3 linked regions of the Kluyveromyces lactis genome follow. Each later gene encodes a partner of the first gene's protein in a complex. Links are inferred from orthologs where the notes say so. Each region holds a gene or a part of one and is shown in the gene's direction. Other genes may lie near its edges. The genes, in order: MED7, MED1 and SRB7.

What was found.
Region 2: MED7 (region 1) and MED1 share a complex: the UniProt entries of both Saccharomyces cerevisiae proteins name them as parts of the mediator complex. The link is inferred for Kluyveromyces lactis from reciprocal best matches to the Saccharomyces cerevisiae genes MED7 and MED1.
Region 3: the proteins of MED7 (region 1) and SRB7 are in contact, whole or in part, in a crystal structure (PDB 1YKH), measured with the Saccharomyces cerevisiae proteins. The link is inferred for Kluyveromyces lactis from reciprocal best matches to the Saccharomyces cerevisiae genes MED7 and SRB7. Residues at the interface, in NP_014506.1 of Saccharomyces cerevisiae: Tyr112, Gln113, Ile116, Leu119, Arg120, Leu123, Leu126, Leu127, Tyr130, Leu133, Ile134, Gly135, Tyr144, Val148, Ile151, Arg152, Leu155, Ile158, His159, Leu162, Asn163, Tyr165, Arg166, His168, Gln169, Arg171, Glu172, Ser173, Leu174, Ile175; in NP_010594.3 of Saccharomyces cerevisiae: Thr2, Leu8, Gln9, Leu12, Asp13, Met15, Thr16, Phe19, Cys20, Thr22, Leu23, Asn24, Ile26, Asp27, Gly31, Phe32, Ile59, Leu62, Ser63, Ile66, Ile67, Thr70, Ile73, Asn74, Ile77, Asp78, Leu80, Pro81, Gly82, Val83.

Annotation. Positions count from the first base shown.
Region 1 is NC_006041.1:649,619-652,167, reverse strand, and holds MED7 (mediator complex subunit MED7), read left to right. Parts: upstream 1-1,270; coding exon 1,271-1,912; downstream 1,913-2,549. Other genes in the region: prephenate dehydratase PHA2, read left to right, coding at 1-13; SCF ubiquitin ligase complex subunit HRT1, read right to left, coding at 362-694. UniProt on the Saccharomyces cerevisiae protein: Component of the Mediator complex, a coactivator involved in the regulated transcription of nearly all RNA polymerase II-dependent genes.
Region 2 is NC_006038.1:818,670-822,090, reverse strand, and holds MED1 (Med1p), read left to right. Parts: upstream 1-1,640; coding exon 1,641-2,921; downstream 2,922-3,421. Other genes in the region: SPE3 (spermidine synthase), read right to left, coding at 1-703; YSA1 (ADP-ribose diphosphatase), read right to left, coding at 3,359-3,421. UniProt on the Saccharomyces cerevisiae protein: Component of the Mediator complex, a coactivator involved in the regulated transcription of nearly all RNA polymerase II-dependent genes.
Region 3 is NC_006039.1:1,290,477-1,292,950, forward strand, and holds SRB7 (Srb7p), read left to right. Parts: upstream 1-1,540; coding exon 1,541-1,972; downstream 1,973-2,474. Other genes in the region: GIC2 (Gic2p), read left to right, coding at 1-488; VMA22 (Vma22p), read right to left, coding at 808-1,320; PMT7 (putative dolichyl-phosphate-mannose--protein mannosyltransferase), read right to left, coding at 2,237-2,474.

The DNA of each region.
Region 1 (2,549 bases):
CCAAATCCCATGATATATGCATTATGTTTAGAAACAAAATGCAAATACTGATCTTAAAAACGAAGCAATCGAAGAGGAATGTACGCATCCTAGTTGTATTCATGGAACAACGCTGTCCTGTCTATTGTTTTGGGACCGATCGAACCTGTCGATAATTCCATTAGAAGCTCGTTACGTAACTATATATACACAGAAGCCAGATTATCTAAGCTTCTTCCCAATGGTAGATATTAAATCCACACTATCCGCTTGGTATTAAATCATTGGAAATCTAAATTGAGTAACATTTTTTGCGGTTCGAACAGTCCAATAGCGATATTAAATTTCGATAATGCATCTTTGTAGGCTTAACACTCTATCTTCACTTGCCACACCGAGCCAATTTCCAAGGTTTATTATCCAACGGACAAACATTTCTGCTCTTGATCCATTGGGTAATACAATGTAGGTGGAATGCGTGGTTGCACTCACCCCAGGCGGCTACACATTCATGCTCCGAGTTGAAAGTTGCTTCCTGCTGACAATTTACACATGGTTCCATAATATGATTTCTGCAAATGGCACAATTATCAACGTCAATATCCCATGACCAAAAAGCTACCGCTGTCCATTTCGTTATCTCAAAATTGGGCTTTGACTCAGTAGCACCCTCTGTCCCGCTCTGTGCCTCTATTGGTCCCAAATCCGTGGCCATCTCCTAACGATCAGCTACTATTGGTAAATATAAATCCTTCCTTCTTTAAAACAGATTACAAACAGACGTTCTAAGTCCCAGGTCTAACTGTCGTTCAATCCTTGGAAACGCGGGTGTGAAAACCTTTTTTTAAACTATTAATGATCGAATAGAGTAGTCTTATGAATGACAAAAGATATACCCTGTGGACTATAATGGGATCTATGGACTTTCGTAACTGCCCAAACGTTCAGAAACATTAGAATTCATGTTGAAAGAGAGACAAGAGTGATATTCATATCACGTGAATACAAACATTTGTTACCCGGATGTGAAATTGTACATGAAATGGAAATCCAACTTATAGTAACCAGCACAAACAGAAACAAGTGATAAATCAGTGAACACAGGAAAGCGTGTTGGCGATATCAGACCTGTGTTAGACCTCCGTGGCCATAATCTGTCCAGATTCAAGATAAACTGGAACCTCGACCGTCCTTTAAAGTATTGAAATCCCTCTCAATAAAAGATTTTTTTGAAAGTGATTGTGAAAGTGAGAGACAATACTGCCAGTCAGAAGCTAAAATATAAAGGACCATGAGTGACAAGAACGAAGTATCATCATTGTATCCTCCACCACCACCGTTCATTCAATTTTTCACCGAAGAGAACTCAAAACTATTTAGAGAATGTGGCAAAGATGAAGAAAAACTAGCGAAATGTACAACAAAACAGAGGGAGCAGTTGAAATATTTTGTGAAGCCAGAACTACCCAGGGATGGTTCATACAGAGCATTTGGTAATGTATGGAAAATTAAGGATGAACTACCGGAGTTATCACAGATGGGAATTGAACAATTATATAGGAAACGGGAATCTGTCACGGAATTGGAAAACGGGACCACAACAGAAGTTGAACCTAGTCCTCAAGATTCGCAAAGTGGGACAAATTACGAGAACAAGATCCAAGAGTCGAAAAAACTAATGAAATCACTATTACTAAATTTCCTAGAGCTTATAGGAATATTGGGAGTGGATTCAAGTAGATATGAGAAAAAACTTGACGAGATAAGGGTGATAGCCATCAATATTCACCATCTTCTTAACGAATATAGACCGCACCAAAGTCGTGAATCGCTAATCATGTTATTTGAAGAACAATTGGAACATAAACGCAAGGAAATGGAACACATCAATAAAGTCTGTGATGAAGTGGAATCCAAGCTGGCTCAACTGTGATATATATCCCAGCATACCAGTTGTTAAGGCGATCTCTAAAAACGAAGACTTTGGTATCAAGATGTTTAATTAAACTTTCATAAGTTCGGCTGCTTGAGAGATTTAATTCGAAATTTAGCCGCCGAATAAGGTATACAGAATAAGAAAATCAGCAAACTTTCTCCCAATGCAAGCAAAGGGGGAAGACAAATTTAATAGCAAGATGTCGGACGAAGCTAATGCTCATTATTTCTAAAAGTCCTAATACCAACTCTCTGACGCTGATTATGTAACGAAGACCTAGTAAGTTTAAAATACAAGTCACGTGCTCTACATGACTCGCGAAGTCCTTTTTCTTTTGTCTTCCCAGAATGGGGTAGAATTGCCGATTTCTCTTCGATTTCAGGTATGGCGGATCGGAGAAACTAATTCCACAGGAAGAAATCCTACAATTCCCTTACACCACACTACGCATTATAAAAAAGACCCAAAAAAAGAATTAGCGATCGGAATAACTCGTGCAGAGAGTGTAGGGCCTAAACGGGCAAAGAGGAGAACAAATGACCAGGCATGAAAAAGAGACCAAAGAGAGACAGAAGAGGGGAACGGCGGGCAGAGGGCAAATAGAAAAAACCGCCAGGCAGATTATCCGAAAGAC
Region 2 (3,421 bases), on another chromosome or scaffold:
AAGTTGGAATGGTGGTGTAGGCATAACCAACAGTTGGGAAGACCTCCTTACAAGCCTTCTTCAATTCCTTGATGATTGGCAAGTGGATCCACATACTTTCAGCTTGAGTGGAAATGACACCTTTCTCAGTCAAGGCACCGTTCAACAATTCGAAGTAAGATTGTTGGAACAAAGAGGCGGCTGGACCTTCCGGGTCAGATGAGTCAGTGATGATAACGTCAAAAGTGTTTTGGTAGTCTCTCAAGAATTGGAATCCATCACCGATATGAGTCTTGACCTTAGGATGGGAATAAGACTTCGCCATCTCTGGTAAGTACTCCTTGGAAACTCTGATAACAGCTTCGTCAATGTCACATAACCAAGCTTCTTGGACGGAATCATGCTTGACAATTTCTCTCAAGACACCGCCATCGCCACCACCGATAACCAAAACCTTCTTTGGGTTTGGGTGAGAGTTTAATGCCAAATGGGCAATCATCTCCTGGTATGAGAACTCATCACGCTCGGTGACTTGAATAGCGTTATCCAAAACCAAAACGTTACCATAATCAGTAGACTTGAAAACCAAAACGTCTTGGTACTTAGATTTTTCATGGTGTAAGATCTTTTCCACACGCAAAGTCATGGCTTGACCTGGCCACATGGTATCAGAGATTTCTCTGAACCATCCGTCAACAATCGTAGGATGTGTTAATTCTGACATGATTTCTACTTGCTTCTTTTCGACTCCACTAAAGATTTAATAAAGCCAGACAATATGGTAGATCAGATAGTGAACCAATTGAGTGCTAACAGAAAGTAGGAGTATAACCTTTTCTTATTTATGATTCTGTATTTAAATCCCATTTGCTGTTTCTTTCATATGCATTTTGCTCATCAAAATTTTTCAGTTCAAGCTAAATCGATAAGCCAGTCAGGGCCCTGACAATGTGAGAATACGGAAAATTTTTCCTTTTGACGGACCTTTGATAAGAGGGTAAGCAGCCTGCTTGCTGCCTTGTTTCTGCTCTAGTGTATTTAATCGGTTGATGTGTCACATCGATTAAGGTTATCGAGGTGTGTTAACTGTTTCGGAATGATATCTTTGTATATGCGCCTGACAGTTCACATGACATGGTATATAGAATAAGCTACTTTCAACCAACTGATCGGTTAGTCGGCCTGGATGGTGCTATATGTTGAGGGATCTGGCTCATGAGCAATCACACTCTCTTGCATCATTCTCTTAGTAACGGTTATTTGTGTGTATGTGCAGAAATTGCCAAGAATGGTCGAAGTAATTCCAGATGTTGAGAGAATGTGTGTCTCTCAACACCAGTTGTAACATTTAATTTCACAGTGCAAACATTCCTCAACCGATAGTAGAAAGGTGGATACAACCCACCAATGACTTCTTGATTGTCTCTCTCTAGAAACCAGGTATCGTTCACTTAACACGATGTAATACATTATGGAATATCCGGGTAATAATTGTTCCTAATGAAACATCGAAAGATTAAATAACCAAGTGCGCTATGCTATGAGTACCAATGATAATTACATGAGGACAATTGGGTGAGTAAGGATTCATCGCGTACCGAGTCTATTGTTACATAGTAGTGATCTGAGGGGTCTTGAATTGAAAGGAAAAAGCATCAAAAATGTCTGATGCATTTGTGGAATTGCTAGATGAAATGATTGAAAGGCTTTTGAATTATAAACCAGGAAGTCGGACTCTACCCAATGTTATCAAGCTGTGCCAAACATTAGGATTAGAATCATTTGTGGATCAAGTGGATAGTACCAAGTCAAGGTTATCAATTGCATCTAACATTGTGGTCATTGATATTGATTATGAGAATGAGATGGAGACCATTTTAGATGTTAAATTGGTCTTAGCGTCAAACTTCGATAAATTCAACTACTTTAACGAAAAGGGTGAAAATATACTATTGACATCACTTTCTGACGTCCAAGATTTGAAGGCTTTCCATCATAACTTGAATTTTTTGGTTTTCTTGGATTCTTTCTCCAACATCGACATCGAATCTGGCCACACGAGTCTTGATTTATTTAAATACTATACTGATCTGCCTAAGATGTTACAAGACTATATTAGTGATCAGCATTTGCCATTTACAGTGAAGATGAATGAAAATTCCACGTTTGGAGTATCAATATATGATGCCCAGGGTCAAACTAAGATTATGACTGTGGATTTGGAAAAAGCTCCTAATTCGGATAGATCTTTTTATGAATATGTGTATGACTCTAAACTAAAAGACTGGCTTAACGAATCATCTGATGCATCTACGCAAGGAATTAATCTCGTATTCAAATTTGAAGAACTAGTAGCGTTCCCAGAAACGTGGCTTACCACCGAGATACAGATGAATGAAACTCCAAAAAAGTTTGAACTACCACAACAATCGCATTTGAAACATACAGTTAAACTACAGAATGAACTCACATCAGATCTGTTACTTATGGATTCGTTTAGGATATCCAATGAAGATATAGCATTGTTGCCAGATTTTTTGAAGTGGTACAATTGGCATAAAATAGTTCTCCAAGAAGTTTTAAAATTAATTATTCATGACAACGTTACCAGTAGCATCTCGACCTCGAACTCTGGAAGTGTACAACCAAAACCAAGAAGAAAGTCCAGCGTGCTAAGTAATAGGAGGCCAAGTATGACAGATTCCATGATGTTGAGAGATTCTGGTATACCGGAATTCACTTTGAAGGAGATCTTAGATCAGCCTGTAATATCAGACACCGAAGATGATGATCAAATGGACGTCGACAAAGAAAAACAGATTCCTATTGTTCTGAACGAGGAATATATATATATAGGAAAAGCCCAGACTTGTTCATATAACGATAATGATGAACAAGCATGGAAAGCCTTTATAGACTACTTGAAATCTAAGCTTATATAAAAAGAATTAACGTTCACTTCAGTTTTATGATGTAGTAATATTTGAGTATAGCATTTTTTGGAAGTAAAATTTTGGTGAAATAACGCTGACGACATACGCTTCATTCATCCCAAGATTAATTTGTGGATTTGCGTTGATTTAAAGAGGTTTTTAAGCAACATTCATATAAATGATTCAAGAAATTTAGGCACTATGGCCGAGTGGTTAAGGCGACAGACTTGAAATCTGTTGGGCTCTGCCCGCGCTGGTTCAAATCCTGCTGGTGTCGTTATTTTTTTTCGTTTTTAAATTACACGGACGAAGAAGCAAGTGCCATGTATTGATTGCTGTTGCTCCTACTCTGCATCTGCTAAACTATGGTGGTTTAGTGTATCCTTATTGCCTTATTGAGAGTATTTATTGAGTATATAATATCGACCAGGAATTTGCAGTACCAGTCATAATTTCAAATCCTGAGCAAGTTTGATACCCTGGGCAACATTTTGAACCCTAGCATCTAA
Region 3 (2,474 bases), on another chromosome or scaffold:
ATATGCGTTCCATTTCAAAATTAACTACCCTAGAGAAGACACATTTGAAGCATAAATATTCTCAATCAGATGCCAGTGAAGTAGATGTCGATTTCCTAAAAAACTATCAGTTCCCAACTTTGCTAGAAGAACAATCAATCCTCCAGGTATCAACACCTGAAACGGGAGACAAGAAAATAGACAAATTCCAATGGGAAACACCAGTAAATTCTGCGGATCTTTTAGAGACTATGCTTTTGGATGACTTGAAATCAGTACCAAAAAAATCAATTACACCAAAGCACTCATTGAAAAGAAACTCTGATCCAATTCTGACACCAATTTTAAGGCCATCAGAATACTTAGACTCTCCAAGAACCAGAAGGTCAGTTGATGATGTTTTATTATGCTATCTACAGCCTAGTGATGCTGGATCGTCATTGGATGAAAGCTCTAGTGAGTTTTCCTACGCTAGAAATTCAAACATTTACTATAAATCTATTCTATGATCTTCACCCGTGGCCAGGGCCATTCCATTCACTTTCACAATTGTTCTCAAGAAAATATACCCATCTTTCACTCGTTATTGCATTTACTGAAATCAGCTCTCTTTTTGATACAGATTAACCCTTCGTCGTTCATTTATTAATAATTAATCCCCAATCTGCATGTGTACAGATATACACTCATTGTACGTCTTTCAATTGGCGCCATCCAACGTTATTTTCGTTTCCAGTAAACTGTTCTTTCCAAATTAGCAATTGTACAGATAGTTTTCTTTTGTATTAACTCTGATATAAGATCATTCCCATAGCAATTATAAAGTTCTTAAGCTGAATTTGACAGAGTCCCTAGTGCGTCAAGTAGACCATTAAGAGTACGTCGAAGTTCTAGTAGTTGATAAAGTACCGGCATCGAAGCTTTGAAAGATAATTGACATTGTTTCAAAGAGCTTGGGATTGAAAGGGCACCTCCGAACATATATATAGGATCCTTCTTCACCTTTGCCAATAGTTTTTCTCTTTGTTTTCTCTTCTTTAAATTCTCATTGGTTGCTTCATCTTTCTCAGGAATGATTTCTTCGTCATTGGCAATATGCAACGGCTCTTCAGTCTCCGAAACAGAGTGCTTGTCATTAATGGAGATATACCTGTTTCCTGTATAAGTTTCGTCCCAGTAATCCTTACCATATGATCCTCGAAGTGTGTTCTTATTGTGATAATTCGCTCTGCTCAACTGATGGTAACCTTCTTCAAAACTAGCTTGCAACTGCTCTAATAGAGAATCATAGGTTGCAAGATTCTTAACAATGAGTTGATATATGTCATCCTCCGTCATCATTGGTTTCCTAGCGTCTATTAATATCCAAATCGTGGCAGTTTCTTCTCATATTACGTATATTATTCAGTCATAAACGTTTTAAACCAAACTTTTGAAGTTGTCTGAAATATTTGTAACTTAATCATAGTCAATGATTTATATAAACGAATTCGAAGGTGAAAGAAAGTTAGCAATATTGCGACAAACCAGCTCCAGTAGAGGCAAGGAAGAGTGTACAAAAATGACCGATAGATTAACCCAGTTACAAATATGTTTGGACCAAATGATGGAACAATTTTGCGGTGCAGTAAATTATGTCGATAAGAACCATGGTTTTGAACCAAGTAACGATTCAGAAGAGCAGATGTCAGATCCTCAGGCCCACATTGTTGAGGAAAAGGAATTTGAAAAGAACATAGATGAATTGACAACAGACATCATACTTAAAACAAGGCAGATAATGGCTCTAATAGATTCTCTACCCGGAGTAGACGTATCTGCACAAGAGCAACTACATAGGATAGATTCACTACAGAAACAATTGATCAAAATGGAGAAGGAAAAGATAGACGCGATAAAAAGGAAGGACGCTTTGCAAGAAAAAGTAAGAACACTTACCCAAGACTTTACGATTGGCATTAATGAATCGAAGACAGAAGCACGCTTAGTATAAGAAAGGAATCATTTTGAAATCTTCGGTAGAAATTGGGTCACATGTTAACGTCAAATTGCGAGTAAGAATACTTTTACATAGTGTCTAATGTATCAAGTGGTATATAGTAGATATTTAGCTTCTTTTCCTTTTCTTCTTCTCCGAAACGATGTCAGACAGATTGTCTGACATCGTTTATTTTTATAATGACACGCAACATCATCACTAAACATAGCATCCGCATGCCCCGTCATGCCACCACCGCTCGCTGTGATATTCTTGGTTCTATAACACAGAGAACTGTGAAAGAATGATCACCGCAAATAATAGAGAGGGCATATACTGGTTAACGGAAAGATTTCTGTGCAGGCTGTAAGTAAAAATGTATAAGTGCAGGATCCAACCTAAAAATGCCTCCAAGGTGACTTCTCTTTTCATTAATTGGTTTGCAGTGGTATTAAGTAAAGTATCTTCAAAAATATTCCAAGATAACCAGGAATATGCTTCCATGAAAGTGTACACG